Stegostoma tigrinum: one gene and its partners. The protein of the gene in region 1 interacts with the protein of each later gene in a biochemical or structural test. Links are inferred from orthologs where the notes say so. Each region holds a gene or a part of one and is shown in the gene's direction. Other genes may lie near its edges.

Region 1 (7,085 bases):
ACTAAGGTGCAATTTCTCCCTATTTTTCTTTATTTCTGTTAAATGGGGGAGTCTATTTTATTCTAAAAATTCTGCCTCACATATACTTTCTTCTGCAATGATCTCACAGAATATGAGTTCTCTGATTGGTGCTGCGAATCTGGTCCAGTCAGAGAGTCCTGGCTGACAGTTAGTTGGGTGAATGTCAGAGATACTGACTCTCTAGTATCTGACTCTGAATAAAGCAGCACTAAAGTCATGGACTGTTCATGTGCAAATGAAGGGTGGCTTGGCGACCAGATACCAACCTCTGTGTAGCTACTTCACTTTCTAAAATAAGAAAAAGCGAAAGGAAATAGGATTGTAAAAAGATGGAAATTAATGGAACATTACCAAAATTATATCTGAAAAATCACATGGCAAATTTTAGAGTCAAAAATTCAAAGATTTATGAGTCTAGTTTAGAAGATCAATCTTTGATATGTTCTTGAGATGGATTGGCTTGATCAAAATGTAAATGAACTGCCTCTGTCTTGACATTTGCCTGTGATTCAGTAATCACAACTGGAAAGATAAATTTCCTACACCTTATGTATGACTGTCAAATTTAAATGTTTCAGGGTTGTAGCTTCATCCCAAAGAATCTGTTGCAAATGTACTGAACCTTTCTTTGTGAAGCTTGTGGGCAGTGATATATTTGTAGGTAACTGCTTCTTCTTTAAATGACTGGTTGCTGTGATAGAGTCGTAGGTTGTTCGTAGTTTAAAATCAGAAAAAATAATTGCTGAGGTAATTGCTTTCACTTGCCAGGAGTTAAAAATGCCTGCTTGCTTAAATGTTATGGACAATTGGCAGCTCACAAGATAGATACTGATGAGGATGGCTGTACTGTCCATCCAGCAAGAAAAAAAAATCCTCTCTATCACAGCACCCAATCATATCTTCAGATTCCAGAGATTTTGCTTACATTATACTCCAACACCTTTCGCTCACAAACTAAAGTACAATTAATCATCCTTGTGTAAAGAACTGCAATTGGCAAGATGCACATGTTCCTCCTTGTTCTACTGTCCGGGTTTAGTTCATACAAATGATTCTGTTCACTGTCTTATATCTGTCCATAGTATCCAATCTTAATTAAGGCTCCATTCATAACTACTAGTTGGAATGTAATGTGAATAAGTGTGAAGCTATTCACTTTGGAAGAAAAACAGAAAGAAAGAGTATTTGTTTTAAAAGGTAAGGGGTTGGAAAGTTTTGATGTCCAAAGGGACCTGCTGTACTTGTTCATGAGTTATTGAAAGCAGGTGTAGCCAGCAACTGTATCTATGGTAATATTTAAGCAATATTTAGGTATTCACTCACGTTGCAATAGCCTTCGTGGTTTTGGACCAAATGCTGGAAAACGGGATTGTTGACCAGTGTGGACATGATGGGATGAATGGCCTCCTTCTGATCTGTAAACAACTATGAAAATATGAGTTAATTAGGAAAGCAAACGGTATGACAGCCTTAATCACAAGAAGACTTGAACACAGGAGAAAAAGATGTTGCTACAATTGTGTACAACATTGGTGGGACTGAGTCTGGGATATTGCATGCAGTTTATGTTCTCCTTATTTAAGGAGGGACGTATTTGCTACAGACAGAATGCAGAGGATATTCACCAGACTAATCCTTAGGATGTGGGATTCTTTTTTTAAGAGACAATGAGGAAGCTGGTCTTGTATCCCATAGAATATCAAAGAATGAGAGGTGTTCTTACTAAAACTCAGAAAATTCTTACAGGGTAGATATAAGAGGGAAGTTTCCTCTGGCTGGTGAGTCTAGACCATGTGGCAAAGTTACAGAATAATAATCAATTAGGACTGCAATGCGAAAGAAGTTCTTAGGAATTCTTTTCCTCAGAGGGTTGTGGAAATTCATTCTTTGAGCATATTCAAGTTAGAAATCAATACATTTCTGGAGACTACCAACATCAAAGGATATGAAGGTAGTGTGAGAACGTGGCGCTGAGGTAGATGATTAGCCATGATCTAATTGAATGGTGGATTAGGGTTAGTGTTAGGGTAAAAACAAACTCAGTGGGCTAATAGTCTACTCCTGCTCCTATGTTCCTAAGAAAGGAAAGGACAGGAAAAGAGGTCAAAGATGAAAGAACAAGGTTAAGATGTAGAGGACATATTAGCACTACTTAGCCAACTCCTGTGGATTGATTCAGTTAATGTACACAACTTCCTGTTTTAGCCGATTTTGTTTTTGTAGCGCTGAGTGCCACATATCTGTGCCTCATGATTGAAAATACCTAAGTTTGATATGACTTATTGTGAAAAGAAAGGGTTACATCATTAAATTTTTACAGGTGATTTTACTTCTTAAAGCAAGTTGATCTTCACAAAGAGGTGACAAAGACTGTCAGTTGGCTTGTCTAGCTAATTTTTTAAAAAGATCATGGTTCATCCATGACTGCATCTGACTATCTCTTGAATGATTTCAGATGTTTGGCTTTTTGACCCTACTCAAGAAATGATGCCGAGTATTGATCACTCTGCATGTAGAAATACCTTCTGATGTCAATCCCGAAGATCCCTCTTATTAGTTTATATTGTATCTCCAAGTCACACAATCATAGCTTATGTTAAAGGCTCAGTCTTATCTTTTGTTTTCCGCTTTTTATTTTATGTTCACATATCTCAATTCAGTCCTCAATAGTATGAGTAACTCTGCTTAGCTCAACTTGTTATGGATGGATGAGTTACTGATATGTTATCATTAAAGGGACAGAAAGATTAAAATTCTAAGCAGGTTTGGCTTGCCTATCTGATTTTCAGCTAAACAAATTAGAAGAAAACTAAGGTGTAAAATAAAATTAAAATTGCATGGGACATTAAGCAAAGGTATTTCAAAAGTTGAATGACAGATGAGAGATGTGAAAAGTCATTCTTGTCTCAGTGGGTACATTCTCACCTGAGTTGTGGGGATGAAATCTGGCTCTAGAGACTTGAGCACATTACCTTCACCGACACACTAGATGTTGCACTGAGATAGTACCAAGGGTGTTGGACATACCACCTTAATTCTGTAATGTTAAACTAATGCTAGCTCCCGCAGCATTATTGAAAAAGGAGTGGGGCCGTTCTCTTTGTTTTCTGGCCAATATTTATCCTTCAAGCTACATCACCAGAACAGATTATTTAACCATTGCTATTTTGCAAGATGATGCTGTACACCACTTGGCCTTTGTGTTTTTCACACTGTAGTATCAAATCCTGCAGAGAGTCTTATAGCTGAGATGACTGAGTTCTATCAACCGCAACCATTTTCCTTTGCATAAAACATGTCACCAGTCAGCGCAGCGGTTCCCTCTTGTTTCTAATTGACTCTAACTTTGTTGGGACTCCTAAATATCACACTTTGTCAACTGCTGCCTTAATGCCAGGGTCTTACCTCACCTCTGGAGTTCAGATCCAGTGTGGATGAGTAAAATGCATAAAAACGTTTTTGAACAAGTATTATTTTTCACAGGTTAAGAAATAATATGCTAGGTATAGAAGAGAAGAAAGATAGTCAGGCTGAAGGATTTCGAACACAGTCAGGTTGAAGATTGAGAAAACGTTCAAGTTGAATGATGAGAATACAAAAGCTGACGTTTCGTTCATCCAGCCTCACATTTTACATCTTGGATTCTCCAGCATCTGCAGTTCCCATTATCACTGATGAGAATACAGTCAGGGTGGGGAATTTAGAGAACAGTCAAGTTGAAAGATTGAAAATACAGTCAGATTAAATGTGTGAGAACACAATCGAGGTGAAAGATTTTGAATACAATCAGGGTAAAAGATTGCCAGGGTGAAGGATTGAGAGGACAGTCAGTTTGAAGGATTGAGAACACAATCAGATTGTAGTCCACCGTCAAGTTGAAGAAGGGTCTCTTGAACTGAAAACTCTGATTTCTCTCCACAGAAACCGCCAGACCCGCTGAGTTTTTCTGGCAGTCTGTATTTTTGAAGCATCGAGAACACAGTCAGAGTGAAAGATTGAGAAGAGTCAGTATGAAAGACTGAGTCCAGTCTGTTAGACTGAGAGGACGGAGCACATACATGAGGCAACATAAAAAACACACTTCCAGCCTGAGACCGGTTGCGACTGCGCGGATGGAGCCGCGCGGCTCGCCGTAGGGGCGCGGGGCATTGTGGCCTCGACCAAGATGGCGTCCTCCGTTCGGGCGGAATGAGGGGCCGCCGACCGGGATTTCGAGGCGGCCGTACCGGCACCGGTACCTCCTTGTCCGAATAGACTGCGTCTCGCTGTCAGCTTTCACCACCCCTTTTCCCCCCCTCACTTCCCCCTCCACTTGCTCTTTCCATCACCCCCCCCTTCTCCTGAGGTGGAGGTGGTTGAGGGGGGGGGGGAAGGGGGAGAGGTGTCAGACTCTGGTTGTACTGAGTGGAGCCGGGCCGCAGCATGGCTGGAGCCAGCCTCCTGGAGGACCTGCTGGAGGAGGAGCAGGGCGACATGACCGACTGGAACCTCCCGGTGGCTTTCGTAAAGAAGCGGCACTCGGAGAAAATCGAGGGATCCAAGGCGGTCACCCAGAGCTGGCGCATGAAAGACCGGGTAAATTCCCCCTTCTCTCTGTCTCCCTGACCTGCCTGGAGGTTACATTCAAACGCCCTCGCTCGCTACACCTTCCCTGGGGCTGCCTTCGTCCATCCTCATCCCATTCCATTTAACAAAAAAGTTTCTGTGCAGCTCGCAATAAAACTTCCCATTCCTCTCCGCATGGGTTTGCTTTCAGTGAGCAAAAGGAAACACGAGCGTTATGGTTTTCAAAAGTTTATTTACTCCATTGCCCGAAATTGCCACAACTTTTTGCCATTAAACTCTACCATATAAAATGCTGCTTTAACTCTAAACGCAAACCTTTGTATTTTGCACAATCGTTACAGCATTTCGTCTTGCTTTGTTAAATATGGATTATGCCTGATCTTTGAACAGGAGGCGTAATTAAATTCCAAAGAACCCATGTGGAAGCATAAGTACAGTTTTGTAGAATTTATCACCAGCGACACATTTGTCAGGAAATAACCTTTTAAGCAATGCTTCGAATTCACTTCACGTTTTTAAACGAAGAGTAAAGTACATTTCCAGCATGTAACTCTTGAGTCAAGTACTTGGTATTTAAAACAATTTTTAAAATGGTTTTTGACACTGTGGTTGCTGAATCTACATATTTCTCATGGCTATCAGTGTTTTAAACAAGATTCTGGTAGTTTTAGGCAAAAGTATTACTTTAACATCCCTGACCAACAATGTAATTGATAAGTTTGCAAACCTTGGAGAGTAAAGTTAGATGATTCTAAATGCAGATTAATTGGAGGTGTCATACTGTAAAAGTCTTAGATGTTATTAAATTTTGTTTGGAAACTTCATTATTTGATGCTGGAATTAAATAATGGATATATGCCTTTAAACTAGATTGGCAAAAGGGTGGGATCCTCAATAGGGAATCAAGTTGAGGCTGGGAAGAGATAGGGGAGTCAGAAATAGCACGTTCAAGAGACAGGTCTGGCTGGAACAGGACAGAGCGAGGGTTGCCTGATGGATTAGTTTGTAACTGTTTCAATGCAAGAGGGCTGACAGATAAGGCCGATGAACTTGATGTGGATAGGTATGTGGAGCTGGGATACTATAGCCATTAAGAAACATGGCTGAGGGAGGGACAGGACTGGCGGCTTAATGTGCCAGGGTGTAGGTGCTTTTGGAAAGTGGGGAGGGGGTGTTTCACAGCAGTAGTCAGATGAAATAACTGAGGGATCATCTAGTGAGGCTTTGGAGCTAAGAAATAAGGAGATGGTGACATTAATGGGGTTGTACTATAGGCCCCCCCAAATAGTTGATTGGGAATTAGGAAGAAATATGCAAGGAGACTGGGGTGACTTGCAGGAACAGTAGGGTCATCGTAGTGGGGGATTTTAATTTTCCTAATGTAGATTGGGACTGCCGTAGTATTAAGGATTTAGATGGGGTGCACTCAGGAAAGTTTCCTCAAGTAGTATGTAGAGGGCCCTACTTGGAAGGGCAGAACTCGACCAACTGTTGTGAAATAGGGCAGGGCAGGGCAGGTGACTGAAGTGACAGTGGGAGAGCACTTTGGGACCAGTGTCCATAATTCTGTCAATTTTAAAATAGCTATGGAGAAGGACAAAACTGGTCCACAGGGTCAAGTTCAAAATTGGGGCAAGGCGAGTTTTGATGGAATTATGCAGGAGCTTGCAGGAGTTGATTGGAGTAGTTTGTTGCAGGTGAAGGGACCTCTGGCAAGTGGGAGGCCTTTAAAAGCGTGATAGCTAGAGTTCAAGGTCTGTGTGTTCCTGTGAGGGTAAAGGGCATGGTTTGGCAAGAGTAGGGAATCCTGGATGACAAGAGATATTTAGGCTTTGACCAGAAAAAAGGAGGCATGGCTCAGGAATGAGCAGCAAGGATCAAGGGAATCCCTAGAGGTAGATAGGGGATACAGAGTTTACTGAAGGAAATGAGGATGGTGAAAAGGAAGATGAGGTAGCTTTGGCTGAGAAGATTAAGGTGAATCCGAAGAGATTCTTTAAGTACATTAAAGGAAAATACAATAACTAGAGAGAGAATATGATCCCTCAAAGACCAAAGGTATGTGTGGAACTGCAGTAGATGGATGAGGTCCTCAACATTTCTCCACTGTGTTTACTGTGGAGAAAGACATGAAGATTTGGGGCAGTTGAACTGGGGACCATTGTAAATGGTAGGGTCTTAAGGAGTGTAACAGAGTGTCCTTGGAGTTCAGGTGCATCATTCTCTGAAAGTGGAGTCACAGGTAGACAGGGCAGTGAAGAAGGCTTTTGGGACATTGGCCTTCATCAATCAGGGCATTAAGTATAGAAATTGGAAAGTTATGTTGCAGTTGGAGTATTGTGTTCAGTTTTGATAACCTTGATTTAGGAACGGTGTTATTCAACTGGAAGGAGTGCAGAAGAAATTTATAAGTATGTTGCCAGGACTCAAGGCATTGAGTTATAGAAAGAGGTTGAACAAACCAGGATTTTTTTTCTTTAGAGCATAGGAAACTGAAG
Region 2 (7,606 bases), on another chromosome or scaffold:
CAGTCCTCAATAAAGGACTCATCTTTTTCCCCCTCCACCCACACATCGACGAATACAACTCTCGTTTGGACATTGAGCAGTTTTCTGCCACCTCCGCCTCCGTGCTTATTTCTTTAACTGTAAGCCTAACCCTCGCTCCACTGACCCCCTTCTCCTGCCTCCAACGCACCCCTTCCTACTGGACACCACCCCAAGGCCTCCTACCCTCCCTTGACCTCTTCATCTCTAATTGTTGTGAGGTATTGATCGCCTCAAACTCTCCAACCCCTCACGCACTCCAACCTCTCCCCCACAGAACGTGTAGCCCTTCACTCCCTCCGCTCCAATCCCGACCTCACCATAGACAAGGGAGGCACAGTAGTGGTATAGAGCACTGACCTCTACATTGCCAAGGCCAGGCTCCAACTCTCCGACACCTCCTCCTCCCGCACCCTTGATCATGATCCCACCCCTGAGCACCAAACCATCATCTCCCAAACCATCCACAACCTCATCACCTCAGGTGACCTTCCACCCACAGCCTCCAACCTCATCATTCCCCAATCCCGCACTGCCCGCTTCTATCTCCTTCCCAAAATCCACAAACCTGACTGCCCTAGTTGACCCATTGTCTCCGCCTGCTCCTGCCCCACCAAACTTACCTCCACCTATCTCGACTCCATTTTCTCCCCCTCGGTCCAGGACTCCCTACCTACATGCGTGACACCACCCACGCCCTTCACCTCCTCCAGAACTTCCAATTCTCAGGTCTCCAACACCTCATCTTTACCACAGACATCCAGTCCCCATACACGTGCATTCCCCATGCAGATGGCCTAAAGGCCCTCCGCTTCTTCCTGTCCCGCAGGGCCGACCAGTCCCCCTCCAGTGACACCCTCATCTGCTTAGCCAAACTTGTTCTCACCCTCAATAACTTCTCCTGTAATTCCTCCCACTTCCAACAAAGGGAGTGGTCATGGGTACCCGCATGGGCCCAAACTATGCCTGCCTCTTTGTAGGATATGTGGAACAAACTCTGTTCTAAAGCTACACAGGCCCTATCCCCCATCTCTTCCTCCGTTACATTGATGACTGTTTCGGCGCCGCCTTGTGTTCCCATGAGGAGCTCGAACAGTTCAGCCACTTCACTAACACCTTCCACCCCAACCTTAGGTTTACCTGGACCATCTCTGACACCTTCCTGAACCTCTCTGTCTCCACCTCTGGCATCCACCTGGAAACCGATATCCATTTTAAGCCCACCGACTCCCACAACTACCTAGAATACTCGTCTCACCCACCCTCCTGTTAAAAGGCCATCCCCTATTCCCAATTCCTTCACCTCCGCCACATCTGGAGATGAGGCATTCCAGTCCCGAACACCCCAGATGTCCTCTTTTTTCAAGGACTGCAGCTTCCCCTCCACAGTGATTGAAAATGCCCTTGACTGTGTCTCCCGCATGTCCCACAACTCATCCCTCACACCCCCTATCCACAATAATAACCAAAATAGAATCCCCCTTGTCCTCATGTACCACTCCACCAACCTCCAAATCCAACACATCATCCTCCGACATTTCCACCATCTGCAATCTGACCCCACTATCAAAGACATTTTTCCCTCCCCACCCTTACGTGCTTTTCGGAGGGACCACTCTCTCCATGACTCCCTTGTCTGCTCCACACTGTCCTCCAGCCCCACCACCCCTGGCACCTTTCCCTGCAACTGAAGCAAGTGCTACACCTGCACCTATATCTCCCACCTCACCCCCATCCCAGGCCTTAATAAGACCACACATCAAAAGATGTTCACCTGCTGATCTGTTAATGTGATATACTGTATCCGCTGTTCCCGTTGTGACCTCCGCTACATCAGGGAAACCAAGCGGAGGCTTGGGGACTGCTTTGCGGAACACCTACGCTCAGCTCGCAACAAACAATTACATCTCCCAGACGCAAACCATTTCAACTGCGCCCCCCCCAAACTCTTCAGATGACATGTCCATCCTGGGCCTCCCACATTGTCACGATGATGCCACCCGAAAAATGTAGGAACACCATCTCATATTTCGCTTGGGAACCCTGCAGCCCAAGGGTATCAATGTGGACTTCACAAGCTTCAAAATCTCCCCTCCCCTGATCTCATCCCAAAACTAGACCAGCTCGTCCCTGCCTCCTTAACCATTCCTCCCACCTCAAGCCCCAACCCCATCTCCTACCCACTAACCTCATCCCACCTCCTTGACCTATCTGTCCTCTCTGGACTGACACATCCCTCTGTAACTCCCCACCTACATTCACCTTCGCTGGCTCTAACCCCACCTCTTTGACCAGTCTGTCTCCTCTCACCCTATCTTCTCCTTTATCCATCTTCTATCCGCCTCCCCCCTCCCTATTTATTTCAGAATCACCTTCCCCTCCCACATTTCTGAAGAAGGGTCTTGACCTGAAATGTCAATTTTCCTACTCCTCTGATGCTGCTTGGCCTGCTGTGTTCATCCAGCTTCACACCATGTTATCTCAGGGTGAATTTTATGCTTTTTCGGCTGTCAGTTTCATCACATGTTTTGGAGGATTTCTTGCCACAAGGCAAAGTGAAATCTCTCACCATATTACACCAAATTCACCTCAATAATTAGCTACATCACCACTCTGAAGCTGTTCTCACATAACTCTAGCTTAGCACGTGCCATTCCCAGAAGAACGTGCAAAGAGGTCAGAAAAGAGACAACTCGCAGTGGTTCTCCAATGGAGATCTGGAAGTTGTATTCATTGGCATGGGCCAGTGGTAAGGTGTCCTATTGCCAGGAGACTGGCAGAGGAGACCACACCATGGAACCTTGTCTAAGGTTTCCACAAAGGTTTGCGTGGTCTCCACGATCCAGAGGAATAGCCAGCTATTCACAAGGTCTTCTCTGCACCTTCAGGGTAAGTGCCACATTCTTCTAAAAACCGAAAAAACTGCAGATGCTGTAAATCAGGAACAAAAACAAGGTTGCTGGAAAAGCTGAGCAGGTTTGGCAGCATCTGTTGAGGGGGAAGGGTCACCGGACCCGAAACGTTAACACCGCTTTTTTCCTTCACAGATGCTGCCAGACCTGCTGAGCTTTTGTCGCAACTTTGTTTTTGTGCCACATTCTTCTTTCTGTTACCTCACATTCACTCTCTCTATCTCTGTTATTGCACCCACCTCACATCCAGGCTCATGCTCTAACACTTTCACTATTGTCTCCAACCCCTCACTGATTCCTGTTTCCCCCCAACCCCACGCAATCCCAACCTTCCATGTCACTAACCCTTCATGGCTTCTGCAGTGCCTACTCATTTGCCCAAGATGCCACAGCACCTTTTGACCACTAGCACCAGCACTAACAGCCATGCTACCCACTAGCGCAAAGCCTTAGATATGTGAACAGGTGCCTGACATGAGGTTCCTCAGCCCCAAGGACAGAATTGACCAGCACCACTCCTGCAGAGATGCTGTGACATTCATGCTGTTGTTTATTTCACACTAACTCTGCTGTCAGTGCAATTCATTACATACCACTTCAAACCACTGGCTTCAAGATTTTCTCTTCCTTGTTCTTGTAGGTACCAGTGGGATGTCTGAGACCCTGGCAGAGAAATGGTCTACTCTGCCAGAAACCATTAGTTGATCTCAGAGGAGAGTTCCAGGGCTTCAGAGGAAGTATCAGCAAGGCTACCTCCTACATTCCCCACCCCTTAGTGGGAATATCACATTTAGAAAGTTTCAGAGCTCAATCTGGTGACAGTTCACTGTAATAGCACTACTGCTGGTGGAGGAATATGTGTCCCAAGTTCGTGCCACGCTAAGAACTTCTGGAAACCAGGCACCTGCTTACTCAAGCAGGAGCGGATCGTGTGGTGTCAGCAATCAGGAACTTTGTCCACACAGATTGGGAGGATCTTCTATGCTCATGCCACAACTAGAAATTGCTAGGAAAACTCACCAGGTCTGGCAGCACCTGTGAAGAGGAAACGTAGCTCCAGCCAGTAACGCTTATTTTCAGAATTCCTAGCCCTTTTAACCTCTTTGCCTTCGCTAAGAACGCACATTTGAAAAGGTGGCTATCAGAAACCTTAGCTCAGGGGAGAGATTAACCTGTAATGGAGTTGGATTTCAAGGCCTGTCAGAATATTTTCTGATCAACCTCTCAGAGGTTAGAACACTTCTAACTTCTGGTGACAGGCGAGACTTGAACCTGTGACTCCTGCCTCTGAGGTAGGGACACTACCACGGTGCTCCAAGGCACTTCAATGTCAATCAAATCTGACAGACTTGAAACACAGCTGGGTTGCTCCTGCGCAGCACTCACCTCTGCTGGCTCTGACAGGGGTCTGCGCCAAGCGGGGGCTGATCGAAACTGCGCATGCTCGCCACTCCCTTTTACCACAACCCGTACGTAGGGCACGCGCACGCCTGCTCCCTCGGGAGGGGAGGGGGTGGAGAGAGAGAGAGCCGGCCAGCAGGAGCGCTCTCCTCAACCCGCGGGCCGCGCATGCGTCGGCAGTGATGGTGGGCGAGTGGAACCCATGAGGGAGCGAAGCCGGGGAGGGGGGAAACGAGAGAGCGACGCACGGAGCGAGCGAGCGAGAGCGAATACGAGCGGGAGACATGGCCGGGGTGTTCGACATCGACTTGGACCCCGAGTACCAGCAGGAAGAAGCCGTTTCGGACGAGGAGCTGGAAGGGGTAAAGAAAGGGAATTGGCGCGGCGGGCGGTTGGGTGGGGGCAGTGAGGCAGAGGAGAACCCGGTGTTGTCGCTGCCTCAGGGGAAGGCGAGGCCTGTGGAGTAGGCCGGAGGGGAGGGAGGGAAATCCTGACAAGGGACCACTTCACGCTCACTCCCTTCCCAGCAACAGTAAATGGCCCGAGAGGGAGATTGAGGCCCGGACTGGGGGGTGTGAAGAGCGGCTTTAAAGAAGGATGTAGGCCTACCTGTTATAGTAGGGAGGAGCTGTTGCAGTACGGTGCGCTCGGAACGTCCCCGCTCCTTGGCAGGTGGGGAACCAAACGCCTGGAGTTCGCGACAGCTGCCTCGCGCTGCCCCGCCCGCTCCATGCCCGCCCGCTCGCTCGCTCGCTCCATGCCCCGCTCGCCCGCTCCATGCCCCGCTCGCCCGCTCCATGCCCCGCTCGTGGCAGTAACTCCTTGGAGCTCGAGGAAAGGAAGCGGCTGAACCCAGGGAGAGTGACAGGTGCGGATAGATCAAACCATGAAATAAACCCTATAGACTGCACAAACAACCCGCGCCTGACTGCCTTTTCCTGAATGCGATATAGTAACACGGGATAAAATTCACGAAGGTGTACGCATGTTTCCAGCCCAGCTGAGGGTCCACAAACGCGGAAGATTTTTTTTTAATTACGTATGAGATTCTGGCCCTCTTCAGTACAGCCTTTCCTTCTCTCCCCTTGCTGCATTTGGAGAAATCTATGCAGCATTTTGTTGAAGAAACGCTTTCTCAGTAGCGAAACATCTTACTGTACTCGCAACGTGGCATTGTTGGTTGCACCTGCCCGAGGTCTGTGATTTCCCCTTGGCTCGAGAAAGGAGAAAATTGCTGTCGAGGCTGACCACGTTACCCCTTCCCTGAGTATACTCCAGTTTAAAATTAGAGTTGTCTATCAACTGCAACTGACAAACTAGCTTCTGAATTACTGACACCTGAAACATACTTTTTGTGCCTATATTAAAACTTGTATGTGTCGCAGCTGAATGAGCTGTTAGGAGAATATGTGGAGTAGAAATGTTAATTCTGGTATACCTGGACAGTACATCTACTCCTTTTTTCATGAATCAATGTATTCTGTCTGAGAACAGAACAATTGAGTAAGTGTTGTGCTAATTCTTCTAAATCCATTGTAAGTTTTATCTGGTAAAAGATAACATTTGTGATACTTAGGACAACTGACTTGTCATGCGGCATGGCATTTAGTTTGGAGAAAGGTGAGCACTGTCTGACCCCAGTGTGATTTATAGTATCATGGTGCAGTTGCAGCTTGGGAGGACCCAGTTTGCTCTTTTGTATCCATGTTGGCTTTTTGCAAACGGATCCCCATTAGTCCCATTCCCCAGCCTTTTTTAAACTAGAGCCCTACAGATGTTTTCAAATAACTATCCAGGTTTAACTTTTAGAAATCCACGTTTAAAAGTGCCTCTGCCACATGGCTCATGCAGTGCATTCTGGATGCCCTAACCATCTAATGTGTAAAAATGGTTTTCCCCGTGTCATTTCTGTTTCTTTTGCCATCCTGTCTATATTATGTGAACGCAGTGCAAAATATCCACAAATGTGGCTATTTATGTGCAACTGATAATGTACCTGTGATTGCTTGCATGGTGAGTTCCTAATTCTATTTCACTGTTTCAAGGTATTGAGCCGGTGCCACATGCTTTTGAAGGAGAAATAAATGTACAGTCTGTTGCCCCTGACTGTTCTTGCTCAGCGTTTAGTGCTTTGTTTTAATAGTTTTATTTTGCCAGTACCCTGGCAAACTCTGCCTATAACTGTACTGTTTTTCATACTGTATTTTGGGAATGGTTTAATGACTGAGTAAATCTGGTTTCAATTACAAAGTTATAGGAAGTTTCCTTCTTTGAGGATAATTCTCTGCAAAGTTTTGCTTTCTTTCAATGCAAAGTTACTATTGTTGTAGAATGAATATTTCTCAAGCCAGATTTTGATTTGGTAGAGAAATTTGTTTAGAGGCATGCGTTTGAAATTCGGGCTCTCTGCTATCCATATCTGCAGACATTTTGTGCAAAGGTTAGTTTTAGCTGCCTTGCAAGTTCTTCTGAAGGTGCTGATTTGTGCTTGAGTGCAATTTACTAGACGGAATCTTAGTTCTTGCCATTATTTGCATGAAAGTTGTGAACGTGGCTGAATCTGGCCCTGTTGGCAGCATGGATGACAGTTTACACTGAAACTTCCACCTATTTGAGGCACATACTGGTGAATATCTGGAGGTATTTTTGGTGTCTGATAAATTTATGTAATATTTTGGGTTTGGCTATTAGCATTAAATTGTGATTTGGAATTTTCAAGATATTATAACCTTTACAACTGTACTCCCGCCCTGCAAAAAAACTTTTGTCCTGTATAGAATGAAGCTTCTTGAGTGATTTTGGCGCTTCATTCATTCAGACAACTGGAGATGTTCTATCACACTCGAGATGCAAGTACTTCACCAATTCACACAGCGTTTCAGTATTCCTGGCCTTCATTTAACCTGCTGTTGTACCCACCGTATTTATATGGCTAGAGTAATTCAGTTTCTGGTCAATGGCGACCCCAGGGACATTGATAGTGATTGATTCAGCAATGCCTTTGAATGTCAAGGAACGGTGATTAGATTGACTCTCTCCAAAAAGAGATGTTGCCTGGTACTTGTGTGATGTGAATGTTATTTGGCACTTTTCAGCCCAAGCCTTGATATTATTCAGATCTTGTTACATTTGGATATGGACCATTTGAAGAGTTGCAAGTACTGACCATTGTGCAATCAGAGAGTGTCCCCATTTCTGACCTTGTGACGGATTAATGAAGCAGTTGAAGATGTTCAGGCCCAAGTTATTCCCTTGAGGATCTCCTGCAGAGATAT
Region 3 (7,298 bases), on another chromosome or scaffold:
CATGTAAGAATTCAGCTATTAGCCATGGGGACAGTTGCCACTTTGCCTATTCCATACTCGCCAGCCAGCTATAAAGATGGATCCTCAATGTTCATCAGGATCCCGCTGCACTTTCTTTCCATCCCCGGCGTAATACATACCAGACCAACTTTGACTTCTGTGTTCCTGTACCAGCCGAGGTCGAACTAATTGCATATTGCCAGGTAACAGAAGGCAAGGATCTTCACAGACTTGAGTTGCTCACTTTCCCTGAGAATAGTGCGTTTACCCTCCGAGCCTTACAGACATGCTCAGGTTTCACTGCGGGCACAAATACAATTGACTTGCTGAAAGGAATAGTGGGTGGAAATAAACATTTGGCCTCTCAGCAGAGTTGCAGGTATTGAAGCTCGCAGGTTTGAAAATAAGATCAAATGTGATTTCAATTTAATGCACAGAATGGGATGTCCATTTTGAACATGAGGTTTGGTTCAAAGTGCCTTATAGAGCAAGTTTTCACAAAAGGAAAAAGAATTGCAGGTCCCTTTCAGCAGGCATTTCACACCTAGCAGAACATATTTACTGGAGTCCAAAAAAAAGGGACCACAAACATTACAGTTCCCTTCCTAACTGAACCTGCATGTTAACTTTGACAGAATCCTGAACTAGAACTCCCAAGTTCATTAGTGCTTCAGATTTCTGAAGCCTTTCCTCATTTAGAAAATAGTCTATGCTTCGATTTTTCCTACCAAAGTGCATAACTTCACACCCTCCCACATTGTATTCCATCTGCCACCTTATCCACTCTCCTAGCCTGCCCAGGTCATTCTTAGCCTCCCTCCTCCCTCAACACTATCTTTCAGTCATCTGAAAGCTAGCAACAACATCCTCAGTTCTTTCATCCAGATTGTTAAAATGTATAACACGAATAGTTGTGGTCCCAACACTGACACTTGCCGAACTCTACGGGACACTGCTGCCACCCTGAAAAAGATCCCTTTATCCCTGCTCTCTGCCTTCAGCCAGTCAGGCAATCCCCTATCAAGGCCAGAAATTTGGCCCTAACGTTATGGGGTCTTTTCTTACTTAGCACCCTCCTGCATGGCACCTTGTCGAAGTCCTTCTGGAAATCCAAGTAATCATGTCCACTGGCTTTTCACGTTTGACTTGCTCATTTCCTCCCCAATTATTTGCTAGCCATGGCCTTCTCTTGATATGATGCACTGCAGCTCCTTACTAAGGTTCTTTGGATAGCACCTTCCAGATGCCCAACTATTACCATTGAGAAGGGCAAGGGCAGCAGATACATTGCAGCACCACCACCTGCAAGATCTTCCCCCCTCACCCATGCCTCTCTAAGCAACTCACTACCCTGACTTGGAAATATACCACCACAGCTTCAGTGTCACTGGGTCAAAATCCTGGAATTCTTTCCCTCTTGGTACTCTGGTGTACTTTCAACAAATGGACTGCTATGATTCAGGAAGGCAGCTCACTACCATCCTCTCAAGGATGGACAATAAATGCTGGTCCAGCCAGCAATACCCACATCCCTTGAATGAAGTTTGAAAATGAAAAAAAAACTCTTTCACACTCTGAAAGGGATATTTCTGATTTGTGCATTCTATTTCTAACAGAATGAATCAACAGTAACTGCTTTGACTGTCTCTTAGGGACCCTGCTCGAAAGGTCAACCACTCACTTAGTGAAATATTGTTTTCATTGACCAATATTCAAATTTACACCCTTTAAGTGCAGGCCAAGATTTCCTGCTCTCAGTGAAACAGATTGTCATGATCTTCATTAAAATTCTGGAATATTTGTTAAATGCACTCTTATGTCAAAAACAAAAAAGGATTTCCTGAACATACACAAGATAATAAACTGCAATCAAACTGGGACCACCTGACACACGTGCTCACAAAATTATGATCTGGAATCAATATAATCAAGAGAGCAGTCTACAAATCATCCTTTTGCTGATTTTCCCCTTATTTTTGTTACAAAGTATCTGGCCTACTAACAGCACGCTGCTGTATCAGTGTATGCTACTGTATCATTAGTAATAATAACATTTCATGATGACAAGAATCACAAGAGGAACTATATACTGAGACATCCACAAGTGTTACCTCCGTATGTAACTCACCATTAAATATACTGATAGTCACTAATATTAAGATTGCAACTACATGTAACCAATTCCTACTCTAACTACAGGTATCCACATGTCAACATTTTCTCTAACTATTCATTCAGGTATCCTTACCAATACATACAATACACACAAAAAAAATGCTGGAAGTGGCAAACCTTATAACCATATAAACACTGACCCTATTTCATACAAATTTATAGTTGGTGCTAATATTAGTAAAAATAGAATTAATCCTTGATTAATAATAATTATTTTAATTTTTATTTTATAATTATTTTAATTAATAATTGATTCTGTATATTGTTGTAGTACAATATATACGAGTTAATATCTGCAAAGTGATAGCCTTCCTCAGTGCTCTGGTAAATCACCTTGTTACAGCATATAACAAACAAGTGAATATTTTGTAACTCTCTGCAAGTGACCTCACTCTTCACCGTAGCACATGAATTACAATGAACATATTTCCCTATAATTCTCTTCACGTGATCCCTCCCAACACTATAGTGCTCCTGTTCTACACTACATGAAGAATAAGTTGTTACCATCTTGTGACTCTTTCTTCATTATTACAATTCACACTGTACAGCATCCCTGAACTACAGGCATAAAAGCAAATTACTGCCTTATAACTCACCATAGAAAACAACATCCCACACCATATGAAAGTGCTGTTCTACTGTAGGATTTAAGGAACAAAATATCACCTTACAATCTTCTGTAAATAACCACATCCCATATTGCATGCACTGTACTATAAGGAGCTAGGAACTATTTATTACCTTGTGGCTCTCTGTTGCTGGCAACATCTTAAACCACATTCTAATGACTTTGTATTAAAGGGTGTAAGGATTCTCGACATACGGACACATCATCCCACATCACTGTACTACACAACAGGATATAAGAAATGAGTTATTACCTTGTGACTCTCTGTAGATGATCCCATCATTTTATTTCAGCTCGTCTCAAAACAAATCCCCTTGCATCACTTCCGGATGGTGCTTATTTCTTACTGGTTGTTAGTTGACTCTCCTACTATTAGGGAGGAGGAGGAGGGGTTTAGTCAGGATACCAATGGCATCATCCCAAGTTTTCATTGTCCAACTCTTTTTTTTAAACACTGCCCTATCTTTAGGAGTCGGGCTTGTGAATAAAGTTCCAAGTTCAGTGTCATATTTAGCAATTCCTATTATCTCTCATATTTTAGCTCGTTGGCTGACGTCAGTGTCTTATGACTTGGATGTTGCCCGGGGCTAATAAATTATTGTGACAAGTCTGGATTTAATCTCAAAAACAGGGTGCAGTGTGCCAGCAACGAGAGTAATCTTGTGCAAAGCTATCCTTCTACCTCGCTAAAAGCGCGGATCCTCTAATATTATCCATTGAATATTTTGGTTGATTTCTGCCTCTTTCTTTCAGATGTTACATGGTACAACAACGTAAAAATCGTAATTATAGAAAAGGCTCCCTCCCGGCCGCCATCTTTGTGAGGGGAACTGGTGTGTTGTCGGGGGAGGATGAGCTTGTGCTTAGATTCAAAGCCTTATGCTCTTCCCCTCTGGTTTTTTGGTGGAACACTCGACGCCCTTTGTATTTTTGTTCTCCCAGTCGCTGCAGGCCCCGAAGCTGCAGTTTAGTACTTGTTGCGCGTGGCTCTATGGCCGGCTGCCATCTTAATGCGGGGCTCACCCCCACCTCCGTACTCAGGAACAGTCACGCGGTCGCTCCTCGCTCCCTTCAAGTCACCTTTCGAGGTGAGGGATGGCGTTGAGTTTGACGCGATGGAGTGGAGTTGAGCGCACACTGACGGCGCAGAATGTTTAAAAATTCTCGAGGAAAGGAGTAAACAAACTCCCGCCATGTTTGTTCGGGGCGGTCGCCATGTTTGTGCGTGGCATGCGTGGGTATGTCCGTGGACACCGATTAATTTTTAATCGTTCCCTTTTTGAAATATAAATGCCCACGATCGTTGTCACTTGGCATCTGAAACAATATACTAGTGGGCAATGAGCTTAAGTAGAAAAGGTAGTTTTTTTCAAAAGCGTTTACATCGGACGTAGACGGTGACGTGCTGACATAAGAAGGCGACGCAGTGCGCATGCGGGCCTGGCTCTGGGAAGGTTGGAGGGAGACACCGGTAAGGAGCTTGGTGGGCTCTCAGCTGGTCTCCTGTGAATTAATCTTCCTTCTTCTGCCCTCCTTGCGTCCTCTACTTGTCCCTTCTCATCTCCTACCTGCTGTCCACGCTTACAACTCTCTGCACGCTGCCTCAGGACCCTTTATTCACTCTTCGTTTTTTTGGGGGGGGTGGGGGTGTCTATCAACGCTTCTCCCATTGCTGCTGTTTGCTTTGTTTCTGCACCTGAGGCTGTTTATAGTGTGTAATCTGCCTGACCATGCTCTGGTTTTGGGGGAGGTGTTGTTCGGATCTGTCTGACCGAGTTCTGGTTTTGCAGGAGGTGTCTGTATTTGTAGTGATCAGCTACTTCATGCTGTAGTTTTTGACGAGGTATTTGGAGTGATCTAGCTGACCGTGCTCTGGTTCTTGGGAGAGGTGATTGTAAGGCTCTATCTGACTGGTTTTGGGGGTTGGTGGGGATTGTTACCGTGTGTTGCAGGAGGTCGTTATCCTTAACCAGCCTTGAGTTAGTGTTCTGTATTGGCATTGTACTGTGTTCTTGCATTTGTGTGTATTCGGTTTGCTTTCAACATCACTCATTTGAAGATTTCTGCAGTATGAGCTGCTAACTTACCTCAATGTGAATATTTTTGTTTATCAAGCCTTTCCTCAGTGAAGTTGTGCTCTGTGGCCTGCTGCAGTTTTGGAAGGGATCTTTTGGATGCAATATTAAGTTAAGTCCTGTCCCTATCTGCTCTTTCAAGTAGCTGTAATGGCTCCTATGGCACTATGCTGAACATCATTAGGATCACTAATGACTGGCCCAGTGTTTAGCCCTCAACTGGGTTATCTGATCACTGCGTATATCAGAGCTTGCTGTTAAGTTAATTGTGGTTTTCCCTTGTGTTACAGCAATGGCCATGCTTCAATAGCATCTAGTTTTAAAGTTCTTTGGGAGACCTTGAAAGCTGATGCATGATTCCAAGTATTTCTCCTCCTTGTGTGAATTAGAAGCCACTACAACATTCTGACTTGAACATGAGACCTCTGCTGATACTTGAGTGCAGCCTTAAGGCAGTAGCTTATTATCAGAGGTGCAATCTTGTGTTTTGTGTAAGGTGTTAACCTGAAGTCATGTCTCCTTTCCTCTGGGAACGTAAAAGAGACTTGCCCTTCTGTGTGGTAGGCAAGGTCTTCTGGTATCTTGAATAATTTTCTGGAAGTTAAGCAAAAATGTGCATTTCTGTAGTGGCTTTCAGTGCATCCTCAACTGAACCACTTTTGATGTCTGTGTGATCATGTGCATACTAGTACAGCCAATTTGTGCGCAGCAAGTTCCCAGAAACAACAATGTACAAGTAGACAGATAATCTGTCTTAGGGATGGTAGTTGAGGGGTGACTAATGATCAAGACACCAGAGAGAACTTATTTTTACCCCTTTTGTTTTTGAGTGATGAAAGTTTTACATCAGAGGATAGCTGGTGGCCTTTGTTCAATATTTTCCTGAATAGCAACAATCGCCAACAGTGCAATTTTCTCAATTGCATAGTGTTTTAACTAAAGCTGTGTTCTCTAGTCTGTGATTTTGGGATTTGAACCCACAACCACGGCCACCCGTAGAGCCAAGGCTGGCATGAGCATTCGGAACTTTAAGTATTTGGAAGAATGTTGTCTTGGCATGGTTATGTAGATGAACTTTTATGTTACAGTTCTCACCTAATAATTACTTCTGAATTGTGGATTTGTACCAAATGTGTTGACGCCTTTGAGACTGAAGGGTATTATTGTTTTCTGAATAGCCGTTTTGACTTCCTGGCTTCTTTTGAACCTTGCCAAACAAACTGTGCAGCCATTTTATTTTGTAAATGGTGTTGTCGTGAGGGGTTTATAAGAGCTATAGCAAAAGGACAGTGCGATGTAAATATACTCCTAAAGAGGTGCTCTTGGTCTATGCCATTGTGAAGGCAACCTGTGGGTAGTAGAACACTTGGGATCTGCTAAAGATGGAGTTTTCCCAAACTATGCAATCTTTCTTTTTGTTCATGGAGTCTGAGCACATTGGCTAGGTCAGCATTTATTGACCATCCCTACTTGCCCATTAGGTGGTGGGGAGCTGCTGTTTTGCACTATTGCAGATCATGAGGTTTAGAGCATCCTTGGGGCCATTAAGGAATTCCAGGATTTTAATTTGGTGGCAGTGAAGTAACAGTGCTCTAGTTCCAAGGTTGGATGGGCTGTGGCTTAGAGGGGAACTTGCAGGTTTCTGTGTACTTGCAGCCCTTGTTTCTCTTAGTGGTAAAGGTCATGGGTTTGGAAGATACTGCCTAAGGAACCGGAGTGTTATTGCAGTACACTTTTTGTAGACGGTATGCACTGCTGTTGCTGTACATCAATGGTGGGGTGAGTGCATGTTGAAGGAAGTAGATGGGATGCCAGTCAAGTGGAGCTACTTTGTCTGAGATGGCGTCAAGCTGTTTGAGTATTGGAGCCACACTCATCCAGGAAACTGGGGAGTGTTCCATCATGCTCCTGTTCCATAATAGCCTTGCGTTTATGGATAGAGAATGAAGCAAAAAGCACAGTAGGAGAATTTGTAACAGTGTACAGAGATAGCTTGGTAAGTTTGAAAATAAAACAGTCTTTGTGGAGAGGAAGATCATGGCTTAATGTAGACTTGACTAAGTTTGGTGAGCTAACCAGGAATGGGTTGATGTATGTAGAATCCCTAGATGGCTGGTATTAGTTAAGAAAATGGCCTTAATGTGGTGCCTGTAATGACTGTAAATTGCCCAGCAAGCGTGGCTGCACTTGTAATGCAAGGAAAGGCATCTGGCATTTATTCACACAAACCCCACAAAAGTGATAATGTTCAAATTTTTTTTGGCATGTTGGATTTAATGGCTAAATATTTGGACAGAGGGTCAGGGAGTGATAATAACTGCTTGGGGAAAAAGTGGGGATGGGCTCTTTCAGGAGTTACTGAGAAGGCAGCGATGGGGCTTGGTTTCATGTGATTAAAAACACAGATCTACATTGGA

What was found.
Region 2: of the proteins of rptor (region 1) and ribosomal protein S6 kinase beta-1, one has a biochemical effect on the other in vitro, tested with the Homo sapiens proteins (6 studies listed by BioGRID and IntAct, with this or other methods). The link is inferred for Stegostoma tigrinum from reciprocal best matches to the Homo sapiens genes RPTOR and RPS6KB1.
Region 3: the proteins of rptor (region 1) and akt1s1 interact in a biophysical measurement, tested with the Homo sapiens proteins (2 studies listed by BioGRID and IntAct, with this or other methods). The link is inferred for Stegostoma tigrinum from reciprocal best matches to the Homo sapiens genes RPTOR and AKT1S1.

Annotation. Positions count from the first base shown.
Region 1 is NC_081375.1:14,204,212-14,211,296, reverse strand, and holds the start of rptor (regulatory-associated protein of mTOR), read left to right. Parts: upstream 1-4,033; 5' UTR 4,034-4,443; coding exon 4,444-4,596; intron 4,597-7,085. UniProt on the Homo sapiens protein: Component of the mechanistic target of rapamycin complex 1 (mTORC1), an evolutionarily conserved central nutrient sensor that stimulates anabolic reactions and macromolecule biosynthesis to promote cellular biomass generation and growth.
Region 2 is NC_081380.1:42,724,154-42,731,759, forward strand, and holds the start of ribosomal protein S6 kinase beta-1, read left to right. Parts: upstream 1-4,499; 5' UTR 4,500-4,615; coding exon 4,616-4,693; intron 4,694-4,940; exon of another isoform or gene 4,941-5,030; intron 5,031-5,149; exon of another isoform or gene 5,150-5,199; intron 5,200-7,606. UniProt on the Homo sapiens protein: Serine/threonine-protein kinase that acts downstream of mTOR signaling in response to growth factors and nutrients to promote cell proliferation, cell growth and cell cycle progression.
Region 3 is NC_081391.1:21,799,643-21,806,940, reverse strand, and holds the start of akt1s1 (proline-rich AKT1 substrate 1), read left to right. Parts: upstream 1-4,211; 5' UTR 4,212-4,238; coding exon 4,239-4,277; intron 4,278-5,923; exon of another isoform or gene 5,924-7,298. Other genes in the region: tbc1d17 (TBC1 domain family member 17), read right to left, coding at 2,920-2,958. UniProt on the Homo sapiens protein: Negative regulator of the mechanistic target of rapamycin complex 1 (mTORC1), an evolutionarily conserved central nutrient sensor that stimulates anabolic reactions and macromolecule biosynthesis to promote cellular biomass generation and growth.